Stegostoma tigrinum: one gene and its partner. The protein of the gene in region 2 purifies or fractionates together with the protein of the main gene of each other region. This does not show direct contact. Links are inferred from orthologs where the notes say so. Each region holds a gene or a part of one and is shown on either strand. Other genes may lie near its edges.

Evidence for each region. Proteins that work in one complex are often made in the same cells at the same time.
Region 1: the proteins of sdc2 (region 2) and caM kinase-like vesicle-associated protein purify together in Homo sapiens (affinity purification with mass spectrometry; 3 studies listed by BioGRID and IntAct, counting the BioPlex papers as one, with this or other methods). This does not show direct contact. The link is inferred for Stegostoma tigrinum from reciprocal best matches to the Homo sapiens genes SDC2 and CAMKV.

What each region holds. Positions count from the first base shown.
Region 1 is NC_081364.1:13,128,078-13,135,710, forward strand, and holds the start of caM kinase-like vesicle-associated protein, read right to left. Parts: upstream 3,001-7,633; 5' UTR 2,577-3,000; intron 1,398-2,576; exon of another isoform or gene 1,302-1,397; intron 1-1,301. UniProt on the Homo sapiens protein: Does not appear to have detectable kinase activity.
Region 2 is NC_081358.1:93,238,629-93,246,349, forward strand, and holds the start of sdc2 (syndecan-2), read left to right. Parts: upstream 1-4,721; 5' UTR 4,722-4,851; intron 4,852-4,967; 5' UTR 4,968-5,201; coding exon 5,202-5,258; intron 5,259-7,721. UniProt on the Homo sapiens protein: Cell surface proteoglycan which regulates dendritic arbor morphogenesis.

The DNA.
Region 1 (7,633 bases), on a different chromosome or scaffold from region 2:
TTCCTTGATACATAAAACAAAGACATTTATACGAGTCAACTTGAGAAAAACTGAACGATCTTTCAGCAGTGGCCCTCTGCACTGGTTGAGAACGAAATAAAGGTGCAAGGGATGTTCACGGGCAATCCGATTATAATATTGCAAACTCCGGATTTACAGTGTAGCTTTTTACGAAGAGGGCAGCGCAGTGCAATCGCAAGCACTACTGGGATTAAAATATTTGTGACTTCCAGCAAATTGTCACAGTACCAGAAGGAGATTTATTCTGTAGCTGGTCATTAATTCGAGTCCGGGACCCGTGGAAGTGACACATGGAAGCCCAGAGAAATGTTTAATTCAAGCTTCCTATGAACTTGTACCCAAACATGGGCCCCTGAAGAATCAGTACTGAGGATTTGAGAGCAAACCTGCCCATTTTATACCATATTTCCTCCACTTGACTTCTCAAGTCAGCTTCCAAGCCGAAGTGACAAACCAGAATGACAGCAGATAGGCAGACTCATCTTCAGTACATCTTCTCCCAGTTACGTTGATAAATCCTTCATTTTTGTTAAGACCCAAACTAAAACACATTTTACTGATCAGGATCTTTGCCGCTGGAATAGTTTAGGTCAGATGTGCAAATATTTAGCCTTTCTTACTCAATGACTCAAATTACAAATGCAATATTCTCCAAATCAAAACAGTCCCTCCAAATTTAAAGCTGGATACTCTGAACTACTATTATTTTCCTGCGCTGTGGGAGCGTTAGGCTGGATATAGCATTAGGGCGAATGGGATCAAAGGAGAAAGCATTAGGCTATTGAGTCGGACGATCAGCCATGGTGGTGATGAATGATGGAGCAGGCTGGAAGGGCCGAATGGCCTCCTCCTGGTCCTATCTTCTATGTTTCTATGAAGAATAAGGAGCTCAGTTGAGTTATATTTGTATTATCAACCAGTCAGCGGGTTATTGAAAGGGAATAGGAAACACTGGAATACATAACGTGATACGAATGAGGGAGGAAGAAATCTTTTACGAGTTTTGTGTTTTTTTAAGAAAGGAAGCTAAATGTGGAGGGTAACGCGGACTGGAATGATTATCCCGGGAGAATGAAGTATCTTTGGACCTGGGATCACACTAGCACACTCTCGCTGATGACAATCTGCTTGAAAAGGCTGTACTTCAGTTACGTAGCTGGATAATTGTGTCCAGAACGGAGCATTTGCGAACTCAAGAGTGCGTTATAAAGTGCAGCTTCAACAACTCGTTCGAACGTTGACAAATTACAAAGATGGGAAAGTAACAAAAAAAAAGGTACCTTCAGAAGTGTATCTAGATTTTTGGAGGGGAGTGGGGGCGAAGATGTGAAATCTGGCGCCGACACATCGAAATCTCCGCAGTATTATGTAATAGTAAAGAATTAAGCTCTGTTTTTTCATGCATGCTGCCTATCCAAACTAAATAGGCGCGACGGTCAAAGCTTTATAGCACAAAGCACAAACTTGACTCTTGTTGTGGAAAATGTTACAGGGTATATATGTCCAAAAATCCAGCCCCTCACACAAACACACACGTGCAAAAACACTAAAACTGACAAACTATGTGCATTTTCCATAGCACCTCCAGTAAAGTGCTGTCCACTGTAACTCTGCTAGTAACCACTTCATGCAGACGAGGGTGCTGTTGTACAATCGAGTCCCCTTCATACATGTAACAGATTTAAACCCCAACACAGCTCTGACTAAAAGCAAAATCTGGATTGCTTCTAGTGGAAGTTCTTTTTTTCAAGATTCATCTCTGAGAATATTTTGAAAATAAAAGGATTTTTTGTTTAAATTGCTGTGCCATGTGGATCAGTCCACAATCACCCTGCAACAACAGTTTAAGCTATAGACCCAGGTCACAATTTTCTTCCAGCGGCATTATCTTTCCACTTAACACATGTTTCCAAACAGAATGACAGCACCCGGCATTGTTGTGCGTCCCAACTTTGTTTTCGGTGTATAAGAAACTCCAAGTGCTTGATTATCCAGGGTGCTGGCAATTCCACACACACAGACACACACACACACACACACACACACAGGTACACATACACACAGGCAGACAGACACAGACAGATACACATACACACACACACAGGTACACATACACACAGGCAGACAGACACAGACAGATACACATACACACACACACAGGTACACATACACACAGGCAGACAGACACAGACAGATACACATACACACACACACACACGCACACAGGTACACATACACACAGACAGACAGACACAGACAGATACACATACGTACACATAACACAGACAGACAGACACAGACATACACACACACACACACACACACACAGATGCACACATACTTCCAAACTGAATACAGCCCAAATTTGGAACACTTCGTCAACAGCCTAGCATTGGTGACCAGGCACTTAAAAAAACTTAACCAAAATGTAGCCAAAAAAATGAGGCAACGTTAAAAGGTATTTTAGATCGCCGCTTTAACCTGTGATTCTACAGACAACGCTTCGAGCCGGCATCCCCTGCAAATCTGCCAGTACAGCCAAATACAATACTTACTTTGTTATGCTTTCACTTGGTGGACGTGTGGTCTAATTCCTGCGGCACCTGTCCGGTTAAATGAGTCCCAAGACTGTGTTATTTACAAGAGGCGATGAAAGGGACTGGAGCCCCACTCGCTGAGTTCTCTGCTCTGCTTGGAGGAGAAGTACGATGCTCCAGATGGACCACTGCCCCGCGAACCATGGGCTTCAGTCTCTTCAGGGAGCCACATGTGCTGCTGTCCGATCAGTTGCTGGATGGTGTTTGAGTCAGTCAGAGAGTGAGATTCAGGCAGAGCGAGCTGGGAGCCAGGCAAACAACACTAGTCAGAGAGACCAGGAAAGAAGCGGAGCAGCGCAGCGCTGGATACACACTGACTTCAAGCGATTAGGCAGGAACGGAAGAGGGGGAGTGTACATTACACACCCAGCACAGGGAGGGAGTGTACATTACACACCCAGCACAGGGAGGGAGGGTACATTACACACCCAGCACAGGGAGGGAGTGTACATTACACACCCAGCACAGGGGGGAGTGTACATTACACACCCAGCACAGGGAGGGAGGGTACATTACACACCCAGCACAGGGAGGGAGGGTACATTGCACACCCAGCACAGGGAGGGAGTGTACATTACACACCCAGCACAGGGAGGGAGGGTACATTACACACCCAGCCCTGGGGGGAGTGTACATTACACACCCAGCACAGGGAGGGAGGGTACATTACACACCCAGCACAGGGAGGGAGGGTACATTACACACCCAGCCCTGGGGGGAGTGTACATTACACACCCAGCACAGGGAGGGAGTGTACATTACACACCCAGCACAGGGAGGGAGGGTGCATTGCACACCCAGCACAGGGAGGGAGTGTACATTACACACCCAGCACAGGGAGGGAGTGTACATTACACACTCAGCCCTGGGGGGAGTGTACATTACACACCCAGCACAGGGAGGGAGGGTACATTACACACCCAGCACAGGGAGGGAGTGTACATTACACACCCAGCACAGGGAGGGAGGGTGCATTGCACACCCAGCACAGGGAGGGAGTGTACATTACACACCCAGCACAGGGAGGGAGTGTACATTACACACCCAGCACAGGGAGGGAGGGTACATTGCACACCCAGCCCTGGGGGGAGGGTATATTAGAGACCCAGCCCTGGGGGGAGGGTATGTTACAGACCCAGCTCTGGGGGGAGGGTACATTATACACCCAGCACTGGGGGGAGTGTACATTACACACCCAGCTCTGGGGGGAGGGTATATTACACACCCAGCCCTGGGGGGAGGGTATATTACAGACCCAGCTCTGGGGGGAGGGTACATTATACACCCAGCACTGGGGGGAGTGTACATTACACACCCAGCTCTGGGGCGAGGGTATATTACACACGCAGCACTGGGGGTAGTGTACATTGCACACCCAGCTCTGGGGGTGAGGATACATTACACACCCAGCACAGGGTGGGAGGGTGCATTACACACCCAGCACTGTGGGAGTGTACATTACACACCCAGCTCTTGGGGGAGGATACATTACACATCCAGCACAGGGAGGGGGGAGTGTGCATTACACACCCAGCTCTGGGGGGAGTGTACATTACACACCCAGCACAGGGGGGAGGGTACATTACACACCCAGCACTGGGGGGGAGGGTACATTACACACCCAGCTCTGGGGGGAGGGTATATTACAAGTGTGAGGTGATGCACTTTGGTAGGAGTAACCGGAAGGCAAAGTACTGGGCTAATGGTAAGATTCTTAGTAGTGTAGATGAGCAGAGAGATCTCGGTGTCCATGTACACAGATCCTTGAAAGTTGCCACCCAGGTTGACAGGGCTGTTAAGAAGGCATACAGTGTTTTAGCTTTTATTAATAGAGGGATTGAGTTCCGGAACCAAGAGGTTATGGTGAAGCTGTACAAAACTCTGGTGCAGCCGCACTTGGAGTATTGTGTACAGTTCTTGTCACCGCATTATAAGAAGAATGTGGAAGCTTTGGAAAGGGTGCAGGGGAGATTTACTAGGATGTTGCCAGGTATGGAGGGAAGGTCTTACGAGGAAAGGCTGAGGGACTTGAGGCTGTTTTCATTAGAGAGAAGAAGGTTGAGAGGTGACTTAATTGAAACATATAAAATAATCAGAGGGTTAGATAGGGTGGATAGGGAGAGCCTTTTTCCTAGCATGGTGACAGCGAGCACGAGGGGGCATAGCTTTAAGTTGAGGGGTGAAAGATATAGGACAGATGTCAGAGGTAGTTTCTTTACTCAGAGAGTAGTAAGGGAATGGAACGCTTTGCCTGCAATGGTTGTAGATTCGCCAACTTTAGGTACATTTAAGTCTTCATTGGATAAGCATATGGACGTACATGGAATAGTGTAGGTTAGATGGGCTTGAGATTGGTATGACAGGTCAGCACAACATCGAGGGCCGAAGGGCCTGTACTGTGCTGTAATGTTCTATGTTCTATATTACAGAACCAGCTCTGGGGCGAGGGTACGTTACACACCCAGCACTGGGGGGGGGAGAGTACATTACACACCCAGCACTGGGGGGGGATACATTTCACACCCAGCACTGGGGGGAGGGTTCATTACACACCCAGCACTGGGAGAGGGTTCATTGCACACCCAGCACCGGTTTGAGATATTGCAAACCCAACTCTGGGAGATTATTTATTGTACACCTAACTCCATAAGATTTATACCTATCTGTGTCAGATCTACTTTACACCATTCAGTACCCTCCTGCAATCTCCCAAGATTGACCACGAGTTCAGAGGGTTGTCCTGTACAGTTTATGAAGATAATTGCCAGCGATGGTTGAATTGCCTTCATTATACTCAGTGTAACAGGAATTGCACAGGTTGTGGTGAATCAGGCATGGTATGAAATGATTTCTCAATCGTTCCAGCAGGGAGTGTTTCTCATCTCAGTTTCTGTATTTGCTGAGATCCCCTGGGCCAGAACCCAGTGGTGGGTTGGTTTTCAAAATGAAAATTGCAGAAGTTCTCAAAGGATCCTCACAGGTTTTAATTTTGGTGCCAGGTCACACATGCACTGCTGATTAACACTCCTTAAGTTCCTTCATTATCCAAGGGCCCAAACATACCTCCCAGGTGAAGCAACACTTCGCCTGCAATTCTCAGAAGTTAGTCTACTGCATTCGCTGCTCACAATGTGGTCTCCTCGACATTGGGGAAACGAAGCGTAGACCTGGTGACTGCTTCGCAGAACATCTATGTTCTGCTCCAAAAAAGACCCTCAACTACCTGTTGCCTGCCACTTCAATGCACCAACCTGTTCCCTGGCCAACATCTCTGTCTCTGGCTTGTTACAGTGTTCCAGTGAAGCCCAGTGCAAGCTGGAGGAACTGGAGGAACAACACCTCATTTTCTGCTTGGGGACCCTACAGCCCTCAGGACTCAATATTGAATTCAATAGTTTTAGGGCCTAAACTCTCCCACGTCCCAGTCCCCTACCCCACACACCAGTCCTTGTTACCACACAACCTGCCACTACACGCCCCCTGTTGTTTATCACTAACAGTCCCCAATAACAACTATCCACCCTCTCAGCCTGATCGTTAGCAACTCCTTTGTCTGTCCAACTCTCTTTCTCTCTCTTTGGGCTCTATCCTATCGTTTACTCCCTACCCCACTCACCTCCCCATTTTCTGCATATAAACTGGCATTTTCCCAGCCACCATCAGTTCTGAGGAAGGGTCACCTGACCCGAAACGTTAACTCCTTTTCCTCCTCTACAGATGCTGCCAGACCTGCTGAGCTTTTGCAGCAAATTTGTTTTTGTTTATGTTCCTGCGAGATCTTTTCGTCCAAGGGACTGGTCACCCAATCTCTGAGGTGGAAGCTCCTTACTCGAGTTCCACTTAGTAACCTGGGGAAAACAAGTCAGTGATCTACCCGCAAATCTTGCCAACGTGTGCCTATAGGAGGTGGTTAGAGTGGAATAGTGTCCTTGTGAGCCATAGAAGGAACTTTGGAACCTCTTATAATCGCTATCCATTGCTCCAGGCTACAACATGGTAGGAAAATTGCAGTAAAAGTTCCTGACTGAATTGTTTCATGTTCTATTCTAAGTGGAGCTTATACTTACATATGTATAAACAAACTTATTAAGGGGCCTGTCTGTTCTCAAAATATCATTTTCTTTTCCCAACAAGGCCTAACATATTTCAGGGCAAAGCTGTTGGTTTTATTGTGGGGTTCAAATATACCTCCCCGCAATTGGAAACACCTCTCTGGGGCTGACTAGCACCTACATACACTGATCAGTTCCTTCGTCTGCTCCCTCACTGTCCCTGTTTTTCCACTTCCAGCAGCATCTTTTAATTACATCGAAAGGAAACATGGGATCTGCGCTTGTATTGTGGAACTTTTCTGGGATTTGAGTTCCTGATTCCGCATTGCAAACTCAATTTCCTGTCTCTCTGTCATCATCCTGTTTTATAGATCTTCAAGTTCTCTGTACTGCTTCAAACTTGGCCTCTTGGCCATCCTTGGTTTTAATGATTCTACCACTGGTGGTCAGGCCTTCAGCTGCTCAAGCCCTCAAATTTAGCAGGCCAATGATAAACCTTTCCATTGCATTGCCTCACTTCCTTGCTTTGAGTCACTCCTGAAAATCTGCCTTTTTGACTAAACATTTTGTGACCTGTTATAATTCTCCTGGTGCTTTTATTTTTAAATGAGTTACACAAATTATTGTTGGTGTAATGTACCATTAACAGTCACAAAATGCAAGTTTTTAGGTGTGCTGAGACCTTTCTACTTTTCATGAGTGTCACTGTTTACATTTAGCTACTTGTCTTTAACAACAAGCCACCAATTGAGAACTCTTTTCATTAAGAGTGTTTGTGGTGTTATGACTAGAGATTAAATCATATCCTCATATCCTTGAGTATCCAATTAAAGATTTTCCAAACATAGTCATACAGCATGGAGACAGACCCTTCAGCCCAACCAGTCCATACCAAACATAATCTTAAACTAAACCAGAGCCACTTGCCTGCAACAAAGAATCTGTGTTTACAGTGATTTCTAT
Region 2 (7,721 bases):
GCGCAAACTCACCAACAGCCATCTCTCTCTGATGAGAGTGTAGGCCTATAACCCTGTCTAGTTCTGGTGACGACTATGACTAAGTCCTCAGTACTCTAGAATCTGCTGCATAGTCAATCTCACTTACTGACTGAAGTGCACAGCATGTGGTGACACTGCTGTTCAGCTTTGCTAGATTGCACCATCCTTAATCGTGGCCCAAACAATAGAAAGATTAGTTTAATATATGTATGGCATACGCTACAGCAATTCTGCTGGTAACAAGGACTTCATTGTATCATCTCACTGTGTTGATGTGGGCTCCAGTTGGCAATCATTAGTACAGAAAAGGGTCATTTTCATTCACCAAAAGCAGACTATTCATTTTGTGGAACGGTGTCCCAGAATATAGGAGGCATAGAAAATTCCCCTGACGCAGACTATTATACACTGTAATCAATACTAATCATTTTCTTGCTCAGGTAAATTTCAAGATTCCAATATTCAGCTCTTTGGCCAAGTGGACATCTTCTGCAGCACCCTAGAGATACAGAAAGTCTGGCTTGAATTGTAACTGCTCTTGCCTGCCTGAAAGGAAACTAGATGGTGTTGTGGAGATAGGAATGGGAAAAGTTAGGGAGGAGGCCAGCTCAAGAAGATGACATCACCTGTTCTGACAATGTTTCCTTCCCCTAACATTAACTTGCTCTTTTGAGCCAGACACTCACAGGAAGGAAGCTAAGTCCTACTTCAGAAAGCAAATCAGGACTAATGGTGCCAATTTGTACTCAATTTGCAATGTCAGTTGAATGATGTAAGGTAGAACATTGGCCAGAGGAGGCTCAGAAATAAGTTTAAAAGTCTTGTTTTGGAATCCCTTGTGGGTCAGGAAGGTGAGACCGCTCCACTGGGCTTCACACTGTTTGCATTTTAAACAGATCCTTCGCCCATGCAGAATAAAATTAGCAATTCCAGTCTTGCAGGTTCTTCAGCTGGTATAGGACACCACATTTCACCCTCTTTAGTGCAAATTGGCACCGATGCTGGATCCTTTCCAACTGGCAAGTTATGAAGACGTTAGTCTGCCCAAATTGGTATCTGTTTTATGTATCTCTGTGCAGTCAATCAGTCTATTCCCTTTGCTGGCAGAATCCATTGTTTCTGTTAAAGAAATAAATAGACTAAGCATGAACTGTTGTTTTGAAAATGAATGACAATTGTTAACAAAACTAAAAATGATGTTGGTAACCAGTTCAATATCTTTTTTATCAGGATCATTTATGAGGGCAGTATTGGAGAATGCATTATACTCCAGTAGTTTTCTTGTTCATTGTCACGATTAGTAAGATTCCAATGTAAGTCATTTTGCTAAACCTGATGCCAAACTTTCCCTTTTCTGATTTTTCAAGCTAAGGCAATCTTTTACTAGAACAAGTGCTCTGGGCCACTGTTGCATATTACCTTGTTGTCTAGAACAATAAAAAGCTGGGCCACTGCAATTAGAGAGGCATATTTGATTTACACAAATTATATGAAAACTAGAATTGTAATCTGGTTTACATTATATTATGCACTTTAGCACATTTCTACGGTTCCAGGTAGATATTACAATAACCAATAAAAACACCATCTTCACTACTAGAACAATATATTGCATATGTGAGAAAACCGAAATAAAAGCAGAGATTGTTGGAAATACTCAGCAGCATGATAGCACCTGTGCTGGGAGAAACAGGGTGAACATTTCAGAACTTCCATCAGAATAGATCACAAAAATACTACATTTATTGTTATAGTCTTAAATCATAAATACAACATCCTGTGCATTTTCACTATTAGCTGCTGGGCCTCTAATCTCTGGAATTCATTTAAACTCTCCTCACTAAAAATGCTCCTTAAAAAATGACCTCTTTCACCAAATTTTGGTCATCTGTCCTGTGATCCCCTTATGTGGCTTAGCGTCAAACTTTGATACACATTGTTCCTGTGAACCCACTTGAAATGTTGTACTACCTTAACATGCTACTTTTTTTTAACAAAATACTCAGCCGTAAAATGTGACCATAGTTGGCTGGCCCAGCAATTATTGCTTACTCACATTTGTCCTTGAGAAAGTGGTAGTGAACTGGCTTCTTAAACCGCTACTGTCCATTTGCCGAAGGTTGAGTCACAGTTCTGTTGGGCAGAGAATTTCAAGATTTTGACCCAGCAACACTTAAGGAACAGCAAGTCAGACTGAGAGTGCATTGGTGAGAAACCAGCAGATGATGTTTCTATGTATTTGCTGCCCTTATCCTTTGAGGTGGTAGTGATCATGGGAAGGAACTGTCTTTAGAGCCTTGGTGAATTTCTGCAGTGGACCATCTAGATAGATACACACTGCTGACACTACTGATGTGGTGCCAATCAAGGAGGCTGCTTCATCCTGGGTAATGTTAAGTTTCTTGAACATTGTTGGAGCTGCACTCAACAGGGCACCTAGGGAGTAGTCCACCACATTTCTGACTTGTGCCTTGTAGGTTGTAGCCAAGCTCTAGAGAGTTAGCAGGTAAGTTTCTCAAAGGAGTCATAGTTTCTGACTTGCTCTTGTAGTCACAGTATTTATATGGCTAGTCCAATTCAGTTTTTTTTTCATTGGTAAGCCTCAGAATTTTGAAAGTAGGGATTCAGTGATGGAAATACCATTACTTGGTACTTCTGTCATGCAAATATATTTTCCTCTCATCAGCTCAAACGTGGGTATGTGTCAGGTCTTGCCTCATTTGGAGGTGGATTGCTTTGGTGTGTGAGTTGTGAATGGTGCTAAAAATTGTACAATCATCAGCAAAAATCCTCACTCTGACTTTATGATAAAGGGGAGGTTGTTGCTAAAGCATCTGAAGGTGATTGTGTCTGGGATGTTCTATTGAAGATCTCTTGCAGAAATGTCCTGGAGCTGAGATGACCAACTGCCGACAATCACAACCATCTTCCTATGTGCCAGGCATGATTCTAAACAGCTGAGAGTTTTCCCCTGATTCCCATTGTCTCCAGTTTTGCTAGAGCTCCTTAATGTCACACTTGATATCCAGGTCTGCCACTCTCATTTCATCTCTGAAATTCAGTTTGTTTATCCATGTTTGAACCAAGGCTGTAATGAGGTCAGGAACTGAGCAGTTCAGGTGGAACTTAAACTGTTAGTTGGTGAGCAGGGATAATGGGAACTGCAGATGCTGGAGATTCCAAGATAATAAAATGTGAGGCTGGATGAACACAGCAGGCCAAGCAGCATCTCACCAAGATAATAAAATGTGAGGCTGGATGAACACAGCAGGCCAAGCAGCATCTCTGCTGAGCAGGTTTTTGTTAAGCAAATGCTGGTTGATAGCACTATTGTTGACAGCTTCCATCACTTTACAGATGGACGAGAGTAGACTGATAGGTCATAACTGGATGGAGTGAATTTGTCCCGCTTTTCATTTACAGGATATACCTGGGCAATTTTACATATTGATCATTAGATGCCAGTAATGCAGCTGTACTGGAACTGCTTGGCCAGGGGCATGGAGGTTCTGGAGCACAATTCTGGTTGTCAGGGCCAAAAGCCTTTGCAGTATCCAGTACCTCCAGACAGTTCCTGTCATTAGGTAGAATGAAGCAAACTACCTGATAACTAGAATCAATACTGGGGAGGTTGAGGTGAATCATCAACCGGGCATTTCATGCTGAAGATTATATGAATGCTTCAGCCTTATTTTTCTGCACTGAAATACTGTTGAATTTAAATTCAGTTCTGGGTGACAGAAAAATAACAGTATTTGTAGTAGAAAAGCAACTTTACCCAACGTGAAACTCTAAAAATAAACGTTCATGCAGTCCACACGCTAATTGTTGCAAATATCAGGCCAAATATGTAACTATTTTGCGACATTAAGTTTATTTTTTGACGCACGTCCTTTGAAAATATTTCAAAAGCTGTACGAACATGAAGTACGGTCTTTCAAGAAATCTAAATGCCGGTCTGTGCCTGATCTGTTTAAAAGATAGGCAAAAGGTAAATTTTGTTTCCACTTTTCTACTAGGAGCAGCTGTTTATTCGTATTTGTTCATTCATATAATTTGTCGAAAGAAGTACCCCGTCAGTCTTAGCGCAGTTAAACGGCCAGATTCACAAAACTAATTTAAAAAGAAATCCACTGGTTTCTGCAGACAATGAATCTTCACTTGAACAAGAGGGTCCACTGAGAAAGAAAACATAGTGCTCACGAGGCTGTTTAATGAACCAAAAAAGATTGACTAACATTTTAGCTTTACTAAGACACAAAGGTGAGAAACTTCAGTAAACAACTTTTCGCTGGTTACTCCTCCTGAATAAACCCCACCTCAAACCTCCCAGCCCTCCGTTTTAAACCGAAACACAAAGAACAACGGATGCTGGAACAGAAGGAGAAATTGCTGGAGAAACTCCGCAGGTCTGGGCAGTATCCGTGGGAAGGAGGCAGAGTTAACACTGAAGAATTCTGAGGACGAGTTACCGGACTCGAAACGTTAACTCTGCGTTCTCCCCACAGATTCTGCTGGACCTACTAAGTTTCTTCAGCAATTTCTACTCTGAAACAGATAATTTATGTCACCCCACCAAACCAAACCAACTCAGCACCCATCTTGTGCAATGGACTAGACTAACACAGCGGAAAGCTGCTTTTCACCTCCATGATCCGCTATCTGGGCGGCGCTGCAATGCTTTATCGCCATTGGCCATGTCAAGCAAAACCAAGCGGGCCCCTTTCAGACGAGCTGCGCACGCGTCTGCTCCACTCTATGAGTGATTTCTTTTCCCCTCAGTTCAATCGAGCTGCCGAGGCTCATAGGAGGTTGCTGCAGGAGCTTTAGGTAAGAGGCGCTACAATCTCCGCAGAAGAGAGCGTTTTTTTGGGGGGTGGGTGTCTGCATGCAATTGTATTGACTGTGTTCCTTGAAATACATACTCATGGTTTGCATCGCATTAGGCAGGGAGAATTTGAGGAGAAGCGTGCGAGGATAAAGTCCGCGGAGGAACATTCAGCCGGAGCAGTAGGAGAAGGAGAAGGTTTCTTTGCCGGGAGAGTTTGTGGAGCCGCGAGGCTGCAGGCTCGGCCGGGACAAGCCGGGTTTCGCCGATAGAACGCGGCGTGATCCCCGGGACGTTCGAGAGGCTCGGCGCGAGCGCCCGGTGCTGTGAGCCATCGCCCAGCGGCGATAGGATGGAGGTCGCCTGGCTCCTGACCCTCACACTCTGCACTCTGGCAAACGGAGAGCTGGTAAGTGCTAACACCGTCTTCGGATTACCCCTGTGCTCCGTGCTGACGGTGGTGGGGTCTCCCTGATGAGCAGGATCGCTCCGGATCGGCGGATACTCTGTGTGAGAGAGAGAGAGAGAGAGAGAAGTGCGTACCTTAACTCGCCGGTGCTACCACACATTTTGTAACTTGTTTGAAGACTCTACCGTTTTACCGCCGCTCATATGTGTCTAATCTTTACTGAGAGAAACGGGCTTCAAAGTTCCGATTTTCGGGGTTGGGGGGGTGTGTAAGAGATAACAAACATCTAGCGTGAAAAGAAATGATACGTGGGATTGAATATAAACCAAGCCATGTACATTCTGTGTCTGGATTGTGCTTCGGTTCCCACTTTAATCTCATTACAGTCAGAATTTTTGACCCCCCTTCCCAGCCTCCAATTTGTTTTTCGCTTGTGGTCCGATTGGGTGAATTCGAACCAAATAAAGCGATCGATATAGTTCGCTATGGCGAGTCTTTTTTAAAACACAACGCTATACACGTGAGGGAACGTTACATCCTTTAATCCCTGCTAGAATGGGAGGGTAGAAGTAGTTTCGCCTGAGGCTCTGGAAAGCAGATTGCAGTAAATTAATTCCCCCTTGTCGTTGACTGAAAGGGATCAAGGCACAAGCTAACCTGTTAAGAGGAGCGAAGCGTATAATCTCCGGAAGTAGAGAGCTGTGAAAGGAAAAAGGACAACTTGGGCACAAAGTTCCTGTGCGTGTGAAAGTGCAGGTGGGCTCTGGTGTTGGAATTGCTGTGCGAAGCCTTTAGATGGCGTCTGAGATTTCTTAGCGCCTACTTTTTATTTGAAGTACAGGACTATCGGAATGTACAACACAAACTTGCTGCAACCAAGTTGTTGCGTCAATAATTTTCTGCATCATGTAGGATATTGTTCAGTTATGCGTTAGGCTCTCTCTGCATGATTAATCGCTGTTTTGAACAGAGGAAAATTAACATGGCAGGAATTGACTAAGAATATAACGATCAAACGAAATGTGTACACAGTTCAAATTTGAAATTTAAGCTGATATCATTTCTGTTCTGCATTGAGTATCGTCTGCACTAAGAAAAAACATAATATCTGACACAGATGCTCTCGCAATGAGAACCGTTTTTGAGCATGAGTAAGAATTTAACTATGCATAGCTCATCGAAGACTAGACCTGTCTTAGTGTGAATATTTGTCAGCCGCTGTGGCGGCTTCTAAATATAATTTGTGCAGCAAGCTAGTCCAGTAACTGCACAATACGAAAGACACTGAGTAACCCGTTAGTCCTTTTATTATACATTATTTCAATTTTCTCCACTTCATGAAATTGATTTCCGTGGATCTTTTATCTCTGGGCACTGTGCTGAGCTATTGTAGCATTATTATCCGTTCAATTTTATATAACTTACGAGAGAGCATATTATGAACTACTTTGAAAGTATTTCATTAAAAACTGAAGTCACTTGAGCAAGAGTGGGCCATCTAGCCTCTTCAGCCTATTCCCTGTGATGAATACATTGCTGTGCCCGGTAATTTTTTTCTTTTTGAAAACTGAATTTCTAAAACATGGCTTGTAACAAAATTCCTGTTTTTTTTTGAAAAAAGATCTTTCCAAAAGATTCTAGAAAACAACAGTGCAGCTCCGGTCTAACCCACCTTTGCAAACCTTCTTTGAATAAGTACCACCACATGGTAATTTTCACTGAGAAATTGCACAAGAATTTCCAATTAAAATTTCTCTACTTGCTGGAAAAATTACTCGCACATTTTGTCGTTTTGTAAGATGAATATTCTTAACAAATACAAAAGTTTAATAATAGCTTTAAACTTTTCTTCAAATGAAGAAAATGTATTTATGTTCTGACTGATAGATATATTTTCCACTGGAACTTTGCAGTAAAATTTTAATATAAAACAGAAATAAATTCTAAATTAAGTTCTAGTAAATGTGAACGATCACTAGAAATTGATCAAGTTACAAATCGGACTGAACCTGTCTTGAGTACTGTTGGCATTCTAGCTGACATAAAATGCAGCAATGTTATAGTAAAGTTTTGACAAATATTAATAAAATTTCTTATACAGACCAAATTTTCTGTATCATTCCTTGTTTGCATTACAAATGTCCTTAGAATATCCCCTGTTTGTATAAGTGGAAGATCTTGAACCAGATTATAGTAGTCTGACATCTTGAGCAATTAGCTCTGAAATGAGAGAGAATGAATGATGAATCTTTGGAATTTTTGGCCCTGAGAGCCAAATATGGTCGAGACTTGAGGTTTGATAGATTTCTACATATTTAAAAACATTAATAGATACAGATATAGAGCAGGAAAATAGTTTTGAAGTAGATGATCTGCTAATACCTTACCGAGGGCTGAATGGCCTACTTATCCTCTTATTTTTGATGGTCTATACTTTAACGGAGTATTTCAAGCTTACAGCTG